2 linked regions of the Caenorhabditis elegans genome follow. The protein of the gene in region 2 interacts with the protein of the main gene of each other region in a pairwise test. Each region holds a gene or a part of one and is shown on either strand. Other genes may lie near its edges.

The links. The genes of interacting proteins can lie anywhere in the genome.
Region 1: the proteins of mua-3 (region 2) and ttm-1 interact in a two-hybrid assay, tested with the Caenorhabditis elegans proteins (one large-scale study listed by BioGRID).

Annotation. Positions count from the first base shown.
Region 1 is NC_003281.10:12,951,385-12,960,347, reverse strand, and holds ttm-1 (Zinc transporter ttm-1), read left to right. Parts: upstream 1-3,176; 5' UTR 3,177-3,335; coding exon 3,336-3,626; intron 3,627-5,014; coding exon 5,015-5,807; intron 5,808-6,994; coding exon 6,995-7,143; 3' UTR 7,144-7,379; downstream 7,380-8,963. Other genes in the region: Y39E4A.1 (uncharacterized protein), read right to left, coding at 8,006-8,101, 8,571-8,876. UniProt on the Caenorhabditis elegans protein: Promotes excretion of zinc from intestinal cells into the intestinal lumen in response to increased dietary zinc. Involved in cadmium resistance, possibly by promoting its transport from cells.
Region 2 is NC_003281.10:10,157,949-10,165,098, forward strand, and holds the start of mua-3 (Transmembrane cell adhesion receptor mua-3), read left to right. Parts: upstream 1-2,748; coding exon 2,749-2,929; intron 2,930-3,939; exon of another isoform or gene 3,940-4,155; intron 4,156-4,979; coding exon 4,980-5,186; intron 5,187-5,632; coding exon 5,633-5,860; intron 5,861-5,920; coding exon 5,921-6,036; intron 6,037-6,294; coding exon 6,295-6,540; intron 6,541-7,003; coding exon 7,004-7,150. Other genes in the region: K08E5.5 (uncharacterized protein), read right to left, coding at 1,264-1,325, 2,391-2,397. UniProt on the Caenorhabditis elegans protein: Involved in cell adhesion and required for organ positioning and attachment. At the hypodermal surface, required for attachment of the hypdermermis to the basal cuticle in postembryonic development, possibly through intermediate filaments of the cytoskeleton.

The DNA.
Region 1 (8,963 bases), 2.8 Mb from region 2:
GATTTCCATACCTAAAATTAGACGGTGATTTCAAAAAAAAATAGTTTCCAGCCGCTTGACAAGTCTGTCAAATTTCAAATTTTAACCTATTTTAAGTCATTTTTTGAGCCGCCATAACCTTTTTTTTGAGAAGTTTTAAAGAAGTTTAATTATGAAATTTCGTGTTTTCAAACAATATAGAGTCTAATAAAGCAATTTTTAAAAAATTGACTAAAGCACCTTTAAGTGCGAGACTAATATAGAAAATACGACATGGTCGCTGTGGCTAAAAGTAGATCTTTTTGCACAGGTTACGTTACTAAGCGCTCTTACAGTAACCTTTCACTAATCCTATAAGTTTTGTGAGTGAACTCGCTGACCTTGGCAAGATTTTTAAATTTTGAAGCTCTTTGAGCCATCATAAGGAGTCAAAATTTGCCCAGCTCGGCAAACTCCAAAAAAAAATTTTAAAAAGTTTTAATGATATTTCTAGGAGCTCCAAAATTACTAAATTCTTAGCACAAGTTTAATTTTTGAATACCTCAATTTTATGTTTTTTTACTATAATTTTTTGAACAAAATCAATAGTTTCGGTCAATTTTTTAAAATCCAATTTGAGGTGTTTGCGGCAAATTCGCCACAATTGCCGCACACTCCTAATAAGGTCATTTCTAATTGCAGTACTTCTCCGGAATACATTTCACGAAACTGTATCACAAACTAGAATGACGTCTCCCCCTTATCACACTTTCACTCCTCCTCCTCCTCCGTCGACATGTATATAAATTTTATGAAAAAGCCCCGACATTTAATCACGAAAATGCTGACACTTTTTTAAGACACCTATACTGATAAAGAGTTCGGTTCACATTACGTCCTTTTCACTTTACTTGATCTCTCTTTTTTTTTGTCTCAACTCTATCATTTTTCCAACAAAAAAAAACTAGTTTCTCATATGTGTGGGAGGTGTGTAAATCATCTCGGCCTCCTTTTTTTCTTTCTTTTTTTGTCTTTTTTCGAAACAATTTCCGTTTCACATTTTCTGCACTTTTATTGCTTTCTTCAGTTCTCTAGAAAATATTTTTAAATTACCTAATATTTTTCCACGTGATATTGTTGCTACTTATGTTATCACATGAGCCTTTTAAAGGGCATCTAATAATATTTTTTTTATATATAAATTGTATTAAAATCAGAGATCAAGCGATCAGAAGATGATTTTTTTAAAGGATTCTTATTTTTTTCCTAAGAATCTTGTAGATCACAATTTTTGAACACAAATTAATTTGAAGCTTAAGCCTAAGCCTAGGCCTACGCCTAAGCCTAAGCATTAGCCTCATCTTAAGCCTAAGTAAAATGTTTTTGTAAAAATTCTGATGAGTTCTAAAAAATCACTAATTATTTTGTTGACTCCTTCTTTCCCCAACTAGTTTGAAAAAGTTCAATTCAAGCCCTGAAAATTTGTACCTTTTTTTTTGTAGTTCCTCCCTAGTTTCCACAACTTTTCTGGGAGTTTGTCGAAAAAATAATAATGTAGCCAAAAAGTAGAGAATACCGGAAATTCGACCCCAAAAAATTCAAATTTTCAACAACTTTTTTCTGAGATTTTTGAAGGATTTTTGATGGATGAAAACACAAAATACTTGATCTTTACATTTTCTCAACTTATTTTTTGAAGTTCAAGACATAGAATTTGTGTCTTTTTGAATTCAGAAGACCATTTAGAGGCAGTCTTATGTCCATCTCTCGCCTACATAAACGGCACATCAAACGATCTTGACCAAAGTTTTGTTTCACCTTTTTATTTTCTAGAAGTCTGCCAAAGTCTGTAAATTAAAATTAATTAAATTCCCAGTAGCTTAACAATAATTTTTACACTTTCGCCTCGTTTACAGGGAGGTAGATCAAAATCGTTTTTTTTTTCCTTCACTTTTCACTTGCAAGTCTCTCGTTTTTGCTAGATAGATAGATGCTTGATGGCAGGAAATACAATCTGGTTCTTCTTCTGCTTTTCCTTCATTGACTATCTATAATCTCTCTCCTCGTGTTTCTTATTATGCGCTTGTGAATTTTTTTTGAATGCCTCACATTTTCAGTCTTGCAATTCTTATTGCTTTGCAGAAAGCAATAAGAATTTTTTTTGAAGTTTTTTTTTCTGTTGAAAAGTTTCCAATTTTTTGTAAGAATTTGTTTGCTTTTTTGCTTTTTTGAACTTTTGGCATGAATTTTTTGGTTTTTCATATAACTTTTTCCTGGAATTTTTTTCCAAAAAACTTAAAAATTTGTGCAAAGCGGAGTTTTCAAGCTAATTTCTTTTTATCTTGTTAAAACTGATTTTTTTTTGAAAATTTTATGTCAAAATTTTTTTCATAAAAGTTGTAGAAGCTTAAAATTAAATGTTTACCTAATTTAAGAACCACTTGAGGTTTTTTTCAGAAATTGTATTTTTGAAAAATAAAATATAAAATTTTTCGATTTTTTGAAAATTTTCTAAACTTTTTTAAGGCAAAAAATATTTTTTTTTCTATTCTTTTTAATCTAAAAATTGCCGGATTTTTTTTGAATTAAACGATGAAATTTGAAGAAAAAAAATCTGGCATTTAAGTCGGTATTTTTTGAAAAATAACTGAAAATTAAAAAAAAATTTTTTGGAAAAAAATCCAAAAAAATACAGATTTTGAAAATATTCACGAAATTTCACTGGCTTTGAAACTTTAAAAAATGCACTGAAAACCTTCGAATTTTTCAATTCAAAGTACTAACTTTTTCATAAGAATCTAATTTTAGAAAAAAATGTATTTCTATTGAAATACGTCCAAAAGTAAGCTGGCTCGCGGAGCTCTTGGAGCTTCATATCCAAAAAAAAAACAAATTCCTGCATGACTCGAAAGATCTTTGATTTTTAAAAATTTGCATAAAAAAATCTTGCGACCTTCCTTCCCACTCAATTTTTTTCCTTTTTTTCCTATCAGCCAGAACGTTTTCCCATATTCAATTTTGTTCTCCATTTCCTTTTCCTATTCTCCTGTTTATTGTGTTCCTTATTCTCTTTTTTCACCCCATTTTTGTCTTGTTTATTTGTTTGTCAAAACGCATTCCACCGCTCCCCAGTCTTTGTGTTGTTCTTTGAAAGGGGACAACAAAAAAAATCGCGGAACTAAGTAACTAAGTTTTTCATTTTGAAATTTCGCTGCTCTTGTCAGAGTGTCCCACGTCGTTTTGATCTACGAAAATCTACAAAAATTGCGGGAATTTTTGGTAGATCAAACCTTGATGGGACAGCCTGACACACATACACGTGCCGTACTCATTTCTCTTAATTCCCGTTAAATATATTTTTTGAAATCTCTAGAACTATGACAATCTCAATGATATCTCCGTCATCAATCCGCCTATCCAGTGACAAACGTGACTCTTCCTCATCCAACCTGCCCGCCAACATCGAAGAGGACACCCAGTCGGTGTCCTCTTCGGATTCTGGAGTATCTGCCGACTCTATTGACCACCATCATCACGGTCATGGGCATGGGCACTCTCATGGGGGTCATGGGCACTCACACACACACAATAATGATGATTCCTCTTCGGATTGTAGTGGAGCAGGAGGAGGAGCGCATAAGCATAGTCATGATGAGAAATATCAAAAGGTACATAGCAAATTTTTTTGCAACATGGCTCAACTTTTACCTCTATTAAAATGACCATTATATTAAAACTAAATTTTTCAAAAAATGTTGCTTTTAATTTTAATTATTGCTATCTATGTAAAAAGCCCAAAATCGACCATTTTAGCATAAAAATGTGTTTTTTTTAAAATCAAGCCAAAACACGAGCTCGCAATTATACATATCAGAGGAAATTTTCAACTCCGGCAATTTGCCGATTTGCCGGAAATTTTCAATTCCGGTAATTTGACGATTTGTCGGAAATTTCCAATTCCGGCAATTCGCCGATTTGCCGGCAATTTTCAATTCCGGCAATTTGTCGATTTGCCGATTTGCCGGCAATTTGTCGATTTGCCAGAAATGTTCAATTTCGGCAATTTGTCGATTTGCCGGAAATTTTCAATTCCGGCAATTTGTCGATTTGCCGGAAATTTCAATTCCGGCAATTTGTCGATTTGCCGATTTGCCAAAAATTTTCAATTCCGGCAATTTGGCGATTTGCCGGAAAAAATCGTTTGCCGCCCACAAATATCTAGCAATACGACGACTTCCTGTGAATTGAATATTTCATCCTAAAATGTTGAAAAATATTGGAAAAGTGTCGAAAATTTCAATAACTGATTTTTTTTCCAAATTTAAATTAGTTTCCCTGAAAATGTTCTTGAAAAATTGCAATTTTATTTGAAATATATAAAAATCAAGGCATTTTTCAGTTAGCGGGACGTTTTTTTGACAAAAATGCGAAAAAAAAACGCAAAAAATATGACAAGAATTTATACATTTGAATATTTTTCTGAAAAAATCAAAACATTATTTGACGCGCAAAATATTTCGACGCGAAAACTACAGTAATTCTTTGAATGACTACTGTAGTGTCGATTTACGCGGCTCTATGTTCATAGATTTATCGATATAATATCAAAATTAAGCAAAGAATGAAAACAAAGATAATACGAAAAAGCAAAGAAAAACTGCGCTAAAGTAGTAATTTATTGAATTACTGAATTACTACGAGATATTTTGCGCGTCAGATATGTTGTGCAATACGCAGTCTCACGTGATGTCAGAATGTCTCATTTCGGCTTTATCTACGTAGATCTACAAAAAATGCGGGAGAAGAGACGCAGAGTTCGTGCTGACGTCACATTTTTTGGGCAAAATATTCCCGCATTTTTTGTAGATCAAACCGTAATGGGACAGACAGCCTGGCACCACATGCATTCTCAGAATTCAGTGTTACCGCACAATTTTAGTAGTAATTTTTTTAAAAACACAGTGTATAACTTTAAAAAAAAACATTTTTTCGCCAAAAAAAAAATGGACATAAAATTTTTTGTTTGGATTTTCCAACTAATATTTCTCGTTTCCAGGGTCGCCGAGCAGAAAAAGTGCTATGGGCAGTTGCAGCACTATCCGCAGTCTTCATCGCCGCCGAGTTCGTCGGTGGATTCTGGGCTCAATCGCTAGCAATTATGACAGACGCCGGACACATGCTCAGTGATCTTCTCTCATTCATCATCTCAATTTTTGCGATTCGTTGTGCACGTCTTCCCGCATCGAAGCGTCTTTCATTCGGTTACGAGCGAGCCGAAGTTCTTGGTGCTCTGACGTCTGTGATCATTCTCTGGGTGCTCACGACAGTGCTCGTCGTCGTCGCTATTCAGCGAATTGTGAACAATGAGCATGAGGTGGATGCTGATGTGATGCTCATCACCGCGGGCGTCGGAGTCCTTTTTAATATCGTTATGGGATTGGTGTTGCACTTCGGAACTGGAGGTCATGGGCACACTCATGGAGGACACTCAAGTCATGGACATGCTCATGATGGAAAGAATGTGAATGTTAGAGCTGCTCTGATTCATGTCATTGGAGATTTGGTGCAATCCATTGGAGTCCTGATTGCTGCCCTTATCATTAGGTTTACCGGATGGACACTTGCCGATCCGATTTGCACATTCCTTTTCTCGATTATCGTGCTCTTCACGACGGTTACAGTTATGCGGGACATCTTTTTCGTTTTGATGGAAGCCACACCGAGCCACTATGACTTGAGTGATGTGAAGAAGGCGTTGAGTGCGTTGGAAGGTGTAAAAGGTGTTCATGATTTGCATTTATGGTCTATTGGAATGGATAAGACTGCGTTTTCGGTGCATTTGGCACTTGGTGAGTGGCTTCTCATTTTGGAGTTTTGAGTAAAACTGAGAAAATTTTGGCGGAAAATTGAAATTTTTCAATAAAGATTTTGGCGGGAATTCAAATTTTTCAATAGTTATTTTGGCGGGAATTCAAATTTACTTTTAAAAATGTTTGCCGGGAATTTCAAATTTTTAAAAAATAATTTTGGCGGGGAATTCAAATTTTTCCATTGAAGTTTCTACCGGGAAATTCAAATAATTTAAATATATATTGTGGATATAAATGCAAATTTATTCAATCAATTTTTGGCCGGAAATTCAAAATTTTAAATGAAAATTTTGAAGGGAAATTCAATTTAGAGCAAAAATTGGATTTTAAAAATTTCAAATTTTCTCTGAAAAACTTTGAATGAAATTTAAATTTTCTGAATAATTTTTGGCGGGAAATTCAAAGTTTTGATATAAAGATTTTGGAGGAAATTTAAATCTTCTGAGAATAATTTTTAACGGGAAATTCGAACATTTTTTATAGGAATTTTGGCGGGAAATTCAAAATTTTAAACTGTTAGTTTTGGCGGCAAATTCAAACTTTGGCTATAAAATTTTTGGCGGGAATTCAAACAATTTTCTTTCGAAAAATTTGCCGGGAAATCGAGTTTTCCTTTAAAAATTTTTTGGCAGGAAATTCAAATTGTCTCTCTGTTGCACGTGGGGTCAGAATGTCTTATTTCGATTTGATCTTCAAAAAATGCGGGAGTTGAGACGCATACATCTCATCTGACTTCGCATGGTTAAGAGCGTGCTGACAATTTTTCTGTAAAAATATTCCCGCATTTGTAGTAGATCAAGCCGCAATGAGACAGCCTGACACCACGTGCTATTGAAGTTTTGAAGATAAATTCAAAATTTTCAATAACAGTTTTGGCGAGAAATTCAAATTTTTTAAATGAAACTTTTGAAAAAAAATTCAGATGTGCTCTAAAAAAATTGGCAAAAAAATTCAATTTTTTCCAATGATTTTTGGTGGGAAATTCAAATTTTTAAATGAGAATTTTGAAGGGAAATTCAAATTTTTTGAGAAACAATTTTGGCGGGAAATTCAAAGTTTTCTGGAAATTTCCTGGAATGTTCTGCAAGGGAAAAGTGCTGCCTTTCATGATATTGAATTTTAATATTTAATAAAAATATATTTTTCTAACTCTTCCAATATTCCAGAATCTCCTAACCGCGCCATGGAAAATGTTGCCGAAGCCCGTTCCCTGATCCGCCGGCGATTCGGAGTTGCCGTCGCCACTGTCCAAGTGGAGCCGTTCGACGAGAAAATCGATTCCTGTGACACGTGTCAACAACAGGAAACTGCTTGATTCCAGTCCTCCATCGTTCTTCTAATCTATTACGATACGGGCAAACTTCTACGTTTTTTTTTTCCAATCAATTTCATTTTTTTCAAAACGTTTACTTTTCTCGACTTTTCCTGTCAGTTTTTTGACCTACTCACACGGGTTGTATTCATTTGGCACATCCAGAGATGCCTACTAATGTTCATATTTTTCCTTACTGTCCAATCCTGTCAAATCGATAATAAATGGCTTTAATTTTTTTTTTTTGAAATTTTTGAAAGAAAATCGAAATATTAAAAAATCAATAATTTATTCAAAATCAATATTTCTGAAAAATCGATAATTAATAGAAAGTCAGTAATATTCGAAAAATCAATATTCTAAAAATCGATCATTTTTTTGAAAATTGATATTTTCAAAAAATCGATAGTTTATAGAAAATCAATAATTAAAAAATCGATTGTTTATAAAAAAATCTCTATTTTTGAAACATTGTTAATTTGCTACGAATCAGTTTTTTAATTGATAAATCTTATAAAACCAGTATTTTTAAAAATTGATAATTTTAGAAAATCAATATTTAAAAAAAAATCGATAATCTATGAAAAATCAATATTTAAAAAATCAAAAATTCATTATGGCTCAATGTTTGAAAATCGATCATTTTTTTTCAATATTTAAAAAATAATCGATAATCTATGAAAAATCAATAATTTAAAATAAATCGATAATTGTATTCCTGAAAAATCGAACACTGAAAGAAAATCAATATTATTTTTTGTTGAAAAATCAATAGTTTTTATTGAAAATCTATATTTTGAAGAACAACACAAAATCGAACGAAAAATCCAATATCTTTATTCATTTTCCACCCAAACTGTTTTATTTAAAGCGGGAAAATACTGAAGTAAACGAGAACGAATAAAACCAGACAAATCGTCCAAATTCCGAGCATTGTCCAGTAGACGATTTTCGCGTTTTTCTGGAAATATTTGAAGATTTCTTGGGAGGAATATTTTGCACAATAGTGGGGAGAAAATCGATAAATTAAAAATGTATATATCGATAATCTATGGAAAATCAATAATTTTAATAAAATCGATAGTTTATAGAAAATCAATATTTAGAAAAAAATCGATAATCTATAGAAAATCGATATTTTGTAAAAAAAATCAATATTTTAAAAATCGATAATCTATAGAAAATCAATGTTTGAAAAATCGATAATTTATTGAAAATCACTAATAAAAAAAATCGATAATTTATAAAAAACAATATTTTGTAAAAAAAATCGATAATCTATAAAAAATCTATATTTTGCGAACAATCGAACTTTTATAAAAAATCGGTATTTAAAAAATCGATAATCTATAGAAAATCGATATTTTGTGAAAAAATCGATAATTCATAGAAAATCAATATTTTTAAAAATCGATAACGTAAAAACTCACAAGCTTGTTCTTCAACTTTTTGATCTTCGCCTTATTGACTCTCGGCTTAATGGACGAAGGATCCGACTCGGGCAACTCCTGAACCCCATCACCAACCACATCACCACTTGCCACCTTCTTATCCGATACGAGCCCACCGGCGGCTCCGTGAGCATCTGGCGGTGGCGGTGGCGGTGTTCCTCCGACTGTCGGCGCATTTGGATTCAGATTGTCGTAGGGCATCGCGGCGAGATTGTGGTACTCGTCATCGGGTTTTTTCTGATCATTCGCGACGGGAGCAGTTGGATCGAAAAATGCATCGGCCATTGTTTGCAGAAGATGAGAATTTTCTTTTATTTTATTATTTGATTTGCCACCGAACTCTCTTTGAAACAGAAATAAATTTTTTTGAGA
Region 2 (7,150 bases):
AAACTAAAAAGAAAACAATTTTAAGATATAAAATTAGTTTTTAAATTCTGAAAAAAACTAATTTTGCATGTAAATGGTCGGTAAAGATCAATATCAAATTGGGCTCTGAGGGAATGACTGAAAATCCACTTTTTCTGCTTGAACTCAGCAGATATAATTTTTTTAAAAATTTAGTTTTTAAATTCTGAAAGAACACAAAATTTGCAACAAAATGGCTACAGGGATTTTTGAAAAAGTTAGTTTGAAGCCAGATATTAATTTTTAAAAATTGGAAAAACTACTAATTTTGCATATAAATGGTCGGTTTAATCAATTTCAAATTGTGCACTGAAATGTATGATTAAATATCCACTTTTTCTGCTTGAACTTAGCGGATATGAAACTTTTTTAAATTTAGTTTTTAAATTCTGAAAGAACACAAAATTTGCAACAAAATAGCTACAGGGATTTTTGAAAAAGTTAGTTTGAAGCCAGATATTCATTTTTAAAGTTTGGAAAATCTACATCGTTAACTAATTTCTGAAAAACAGGAAAAAGTCAAATAAATCGCAAAAATGGAAGTTCAAATAAAAAAGTTTTGAAATTTTTCCTAATTTTTCAAAAACTTATGCAATGTGTATTAAATGTATAAATGTATAAATTATGTATTAATATGTTGTGTAATAAAAATGTATTACCTATCAATTTTGAAGCAAAGTAGTTTGAAATTTTAATTTCAGGAAATTTTTGCACCAACTTACTTCAAACTTAATCGATTTTTTTTTCGTTTTTTCTTTAAAAATCATTTTCAATGGTTTTACCTGAATCTATACAGTTAATGCATTTGTATGTTCGTTAAAATTCATTGTAAATGACCTTCCCATATGAAGGACCGTGTATTCGAATAATGCCATTAGTATTCTCAACCCCCCGAGAACGGAAGAACGACGGGATGCAATGCAAATCACTTAAGTTTAATGGTTTTTCAAGGAAGGAGGTAATGTAAATTTATGTTCTCTCCAAATTGTTCCATCCTTCTAATTATTTATGTATGCAGAGGTATAGGAAACCCAGAAAAAACTCCCTGGTTGGCCAAGAAAAGAACATATGGTTTATATGCATAACTCGGAAAACAATAGCACTGTAGAAAAGGGTGTGTATGTATGTAATACAATACAGTTCGGGTGTCATCAAAAAGGTTTGGATTACAATTACAAAAGGCGGGCTTGTGCGTTGAAAACCGTATTGCTCAAGAGGTTTTCTTCATGGAAATCAGAAATTGAATTAATTCAATTTGACCGAGAAACGGTTTGAGCTGAGCAATCCGTATGTACTTTGAGACATCACTGAAAAATATTTATTAAACTTGTGATTTGGAAAATCTGAAAGAAAAAGAGAACATGATCAAACATCAAAAAAGTGAATTTGTAATAGATAAATTCCTGGAGGATATCTAGATTTTTTACAGAAAAATACAAAACATTCAAACTTTCCCGGAACAGTGTGAATTTGACAGGCCTCAGATCCATTTAAGCCGTTACGGTTAGACTAGATTATCAAAAGTATTTTATTTTACTTTAACAAAACTCAACTTCTACCCACCGAAATTTCGCTCTGAAGTATTTCCAGTTCAATATTCCCAATTCTCGGGCTGTATAGAATTTCTCTAAAGTAAGCCTCATTTTTGCAATTTTTCAATAATTGAGTTTAAAGGATGGAAAAATATCTGGAAACTTTTTGTTTTTTTTTTTGAAAATGAACTCAATTTTTCGAACATCTAATTTTCCTTTTACATGTGGTGCCAGGCTGACCAATTTCGGTTTGATCTACAAAAATGCGGGAAGTTTTTCCTAAAAAATGTGACATCAACACGTTTTTAACCATGCGAAATTAAAAGCGAAGTCTGCGTTCAAATTCCCGCAATTCTCGTAGATCTATGTAGATCAAACCGAAATGGGGCACTCTGACAACACGTGCTTTTATCATTAGTAAAACTTGTATTCAATTAATTATTGAAATCTAGCTCTTTGCAGCACTTAGATACATGTCAGGTTGTGTATTTAAGCTTCGAAAATCATCACTTCTGAGCATTAACTGTAAAAATGTTACGAGTAGATAAATACAATCATTTGCTCCAAAATTTTCATTTTGCGACACCCTACTGAACGCCAAAAAACTAATTAATATACTAGAGCCCAGCTCTGCAAATTTAAAATTACAACCTGAAAACTGTAGTCACAAAATTTCTAGACCATAATTTTCCACGACGCAAAATGTGCCCAATTTTGTGCGTGCATAATGCCATTGCTGCGTGGTTCCTTATACACATAACAAATTAATTGTGCTGATAGCCGATGTTTAAATTTAATCCTAGCATCAAACGAAAAAAAAGTCAAGTTAATAGAAGATACCTTTCATTTTTCAATAAGACAATGCGGGTAATTCAAAAAGGTAAATGAAACAATAGAACGTCGCATAATGATTTGAATAAGTAGTGTTCCTAAACTCATTTGACGGAAGGAAGAAGACGTATGGATATATACAACTACATACCTAAACCATTCTTCTTCTTCTTCTTCTCCATCTTTTCCTACGCACAGTGCCCTTCTTCTTCCGTCTGTTCCATCTCATTCCGGTTAGCCCCGCCTCTAAAAGAGACTGGTTGTCTTTTGCGGACTTGCTGCCAGCCTTCACCGAACCGGCGTAACTATATACTACTTCGAGATAGATGAGATTACTTTTTTTTGACAACATAACACCCGCATAACAATGCAGGCTGGAATTTCAATATTTTTTCTCTTTTTACACATTCCTATATTTTTTGTAAACTGCTCGAATTCCACAAGCTGTGTTGCTCGAGAAGAATTTCAATGCAAAATGGATGATTCTTGTATTTCAATGAAAAAATGGCAAGATGGAGTTGATGATTGCTATGATGGAAGTGATGAAGGTGATTTTTAAATTATTTGAATACTGGCGATTTCTAAAAGTTTTTTGAAATATTCAACCAGCTGTCAATTACCCTACGCAAACATGCAAAAACTTGAAAGCAAGTCATTTTCAAAGGATTCTAAAACTTTTCAAAACTGGAAGGAAATTTTATTTGTTCATTTTTTTGACTTACTCGAAATAAAAATTTTCCAAACCACAAAATCCGATGGAAATTTTTCTTTTGATCGGTGGCTTCCAAAAACGTTGCAAAAACTGAGCAATTAACACTTTTTGAAACAAAATAAATTATTTAAATTTATGTGTGAAAAGCGAAAAGTTTTATTATAATATCCCACTGGCCTCACATTTAAAACAGTTCCAGTGACGTCCTACTCCCAAAAAAAATTATCACGGTTTTCCGAGACAATGTATAAGACAAAATTAATAACTGTCTTTTTTTCTTTTTTCTCGCATTTTAGTTTTTTTTCAAAGCCGGTGAGAAATTTTCCGGTTTGTTTCAATTCTTTTTAAAGCTTTTGCTCCGAAAACTCCATAAGTTTATGAAGCCGAGGCTTATTATTAAAAATTGCAAAATATGCGGAAATACTTTCCTGTAAATATAAAAAATAACTTTATACTCTTGGAAAAATTGCCAAAATTTTCAAAGGGGGATTTTCTTTTGAAAAAAAAGTATTTTATTCAAAATTCATTTTCACTAAATCTGAAAAGTCCAAAACCCCCAATTTTTCTGCAAACCTAGATTTCATGAACTCTGACGTCTTTTCTAAACTTAATAACCTAGAATCCAAAAAAACTAAATTTAGGTTGTCCTACTTCTTTTTGCTGTGTGTGTGTTTTTTTTCAAAAAATATAATAACACCATTACTCGGACTAGATACCTTTTTAGTAAGTAACCACTTCAAATGTTTCTCTATGCACTCTTCAGATCGTTTTTTGATGAGTACCCGCACCTTCGTGCCTCAACGCGCGTACGCACCACAGCCGCAATTAGACCGTATTCGGTAATTAGACGTATTCTTTTCCTCCAGAGCCTCCCCTTATTCATCCTAGTGTGATTGTGTCATTCGAGCGTAATATATATCTTTGAATACCTTCCAAAAAAAATCAAGAACAGTGACCGTAAAAATGTACGTCTTTTTCCCTTTCATTTGATCAAAATAAGTCGAATTCCGAAAGACACATGGATATTAAGATATTCAAATTTAATTGGTTTGACCTTCCCTTTCGTTTCAATGCAACTCAAGTGACACCAGTTCCTTGAAAAGGTCGTGAAACCCATACAACGGGCCTATCGAGGAGAACAAGATAATTGCCTTTAGGTTGTATTTCATTTACAAGTCACTGTGTTGACTAATTGAGCAAATTTGTGTATGGTCTGAAATGTAACTATTAAAAAAAAACTGTAGAATTGGTTCGGAAGTCAGAGGTATGCACATTTTTACTGCAATTACTGAAAGGTAACACAAAATTATAGAAAAATATTTTTACTTCCTGAAAACAGCTTTACTTTGAATTAAAAATTTCAAAAAATTGATCAAATCTGCCTGAAAGCCTCTATGTGCCGATCGACCAATTACATTAGGATATCATTGTGACTTTGCGGTAAGATTTGAGCAAAAGTTTTTCAATTCAAAGTAAATTTATTATCAAAAAGTACCAATTTTTTTGATTTAAAATTTCTGTTCCGGTGTAAAACTTTAGCACAGTTCCGTGGAAAACGGAGTACATTTTCCAAAAAGTTTTGATAAAAGTGGCCACTTTTAAATATATATCAGAAGTTGGCTATTTCAAAAACTAAAATTAAATGACAGTGGACTAATTTTGGAATTTTTGAAAAGTTTGGAACAAAGTCCTATGTTTGAGTCTCTACAATGTTTTGATAAAAACGATAAAAAAAATGTTGGTAATTTATTTTATTAGAATTTTTAAATTCTAAATATTCACAAAAAAGCTTACCTAACCGCAACACGATAATCGAATTGAAAAAATGCCAACAGGGTATTTTCTTTTTTGCAATCCCCCGCCAAGAACCTAATCCCATTTTACAGTGTGCCTGCCATGGCAATTCGACTGTCAGTTTGGATCACCTCGATGTATTTCAAAAAACAAATTGCACGACAAAAAGATCGATTGTTATTCTGGTTTCGACGAAGGATGTCCTGCTCACTATTTTGTGTGTCGAGATAGAAGTGCATGCATTGAACCATCGAAATATCTTAATGGTGTTGCTGATTGTAAAGATAAGTCGGATGAACGTGAGTGATGATATTCAAGGTTAATTGTGTATGGGAAGGGAAAACAATGTATACATTATGAAATTATTGTTGCAATATGTTTAAGAAAGGGAAATAACAATTATTTAGTTTGAAAAACCGAAAAATAAATTATTCAAAAATGTTACATATTTTCTGCGTAAATGAAATTTCATTAAAAAAAATACAATAAAATTAAGAACATTGCACTTGATGAGCTCTAAAATAGAGATAAATTAAAATAATTTTTGAAACTGATTTAATGTTTTTTAATCCAGATACAAAAAAAAATCCCAAAAACATTTGCCAAAAAAACAAGAAAGTTGCAAAAAGTGGGCATACTTTTTTGAAAATTTTTTTTTCAAGTTTATCAAGACATTGCGCTACTCCTAAAATTCAAAAAACACCACCTGAATATAAAAACCAAACCCCTAAAAAATGTTTTTCAGCATGCGCACAGAATCAATTCCAATGCTCGGATGGCACAAAATGTATTCCAAAAGCTCAATTTCAAGATGGAAAAGAAGATTGTGATGATGGTTCAGATGAAGAATGTACTACATCTCAATTTGCATGCCAATGTGGAACCATTAAATGTGTTTCTGATACTTTTATAATGGATGGAAACTGGGATTGTGAAGATGGTTCCGATGAGTTTATCAATAAAACGTTGACAGGTGAGCATTTTGAAAATTCTAAAGGATTTTGAAAAATGAAATGGAATAATTTATTTACAGCTAATTGCACGAGAAACAATAAAGTCAACATTGCGACCAATTCACTTTCTTTGGGAAAACTTAAATTTTGCTCAGGAAAGAATCCGTGCAAGCCTGAGTTAGGACAAGTTTGTGTGGTAAGGTTTACACAAGTTTTTTACTAAAACATTTCAAACCAAGTAGGAATAATTTTGGCGGGAAATACAAATTTTCTTTAAAAAATGTTTGGCTGGAAGTTTAAATTTTTTGAAAATTTAACTGAGCACACAATAATTTCGAAATGATGTTCTTCAAAAACTCTAAAAACTCTAGTAAAACATTTTGGCAATTTACTTGGGAAGTTGCAAGAGAAGTATCAAAAAAATTGTTTAAAACATTAAAGTTTTAAACTTCAGATAATCGGTGGAACTTGGCGATGTGTCTGTAAGCTGGGAACATTTCGACCACTAGGATCCGATAAATGTATTCCAATTGAACTTCTGACAAGATATCGAAATGCTCCAAGTAGTAAATGCTCAAATTCTCATGAAGAACAATTTGGTCTGCTGCAAGGATTTCAAAAGAGTCTATCATCAAGAAAAGAATTAGAAAGATGGAGTAATATTCGTAGAGCTCCTCCAAGAACATTATCTGGTACTACAGTGAGTTTTTTAATCTTGAAAGGTGATCTATGAGCTGTTAATTTTTAAATCAGAATAGTAAGAATATACTAGGAAAAGCAAAATCTTTTAAAAAGTACAAAAAATCGATTGGAATACCCAAAAATGCCGTAAAAAATGACGGAGCCTGTTATTTGACTCTACTTGAATTTTTTTGTTGAAAAATTTCTTTTTTTTTGTCAATCTTGGTTTTGTTGAATTTTTTAAATCAAATTCGGTGTTACTATAAATTTTTAGTGAGAGTACTAATTTTTGCGATTACTGCCTACGGTACCCGGTCTCGACGCGAAAAATCTTGTTAAATTCAAAAAGATGTACTACTTTAGAAATTATTGTTTCGAAAAAATTAAAATCAATAGTTGATCGGCACTCTTTAAGTTTTTTTTTGTAATTTTGTCGCTGCCCGTAAATAATTTTTTATTTATTTTTAAAAAACAATTTTCAGCCAAGTGGGAGTGATGGTTTCTTAAAAAGTGGTGCTGAACAGGTACCATTCATGTTTCAAGAAGATAAGAATTATGTCAGTGTGATACCCGATGAAATAATAGACAGTTATGGGACTATTATGACACCTCCCGAATTCCACTTCAAT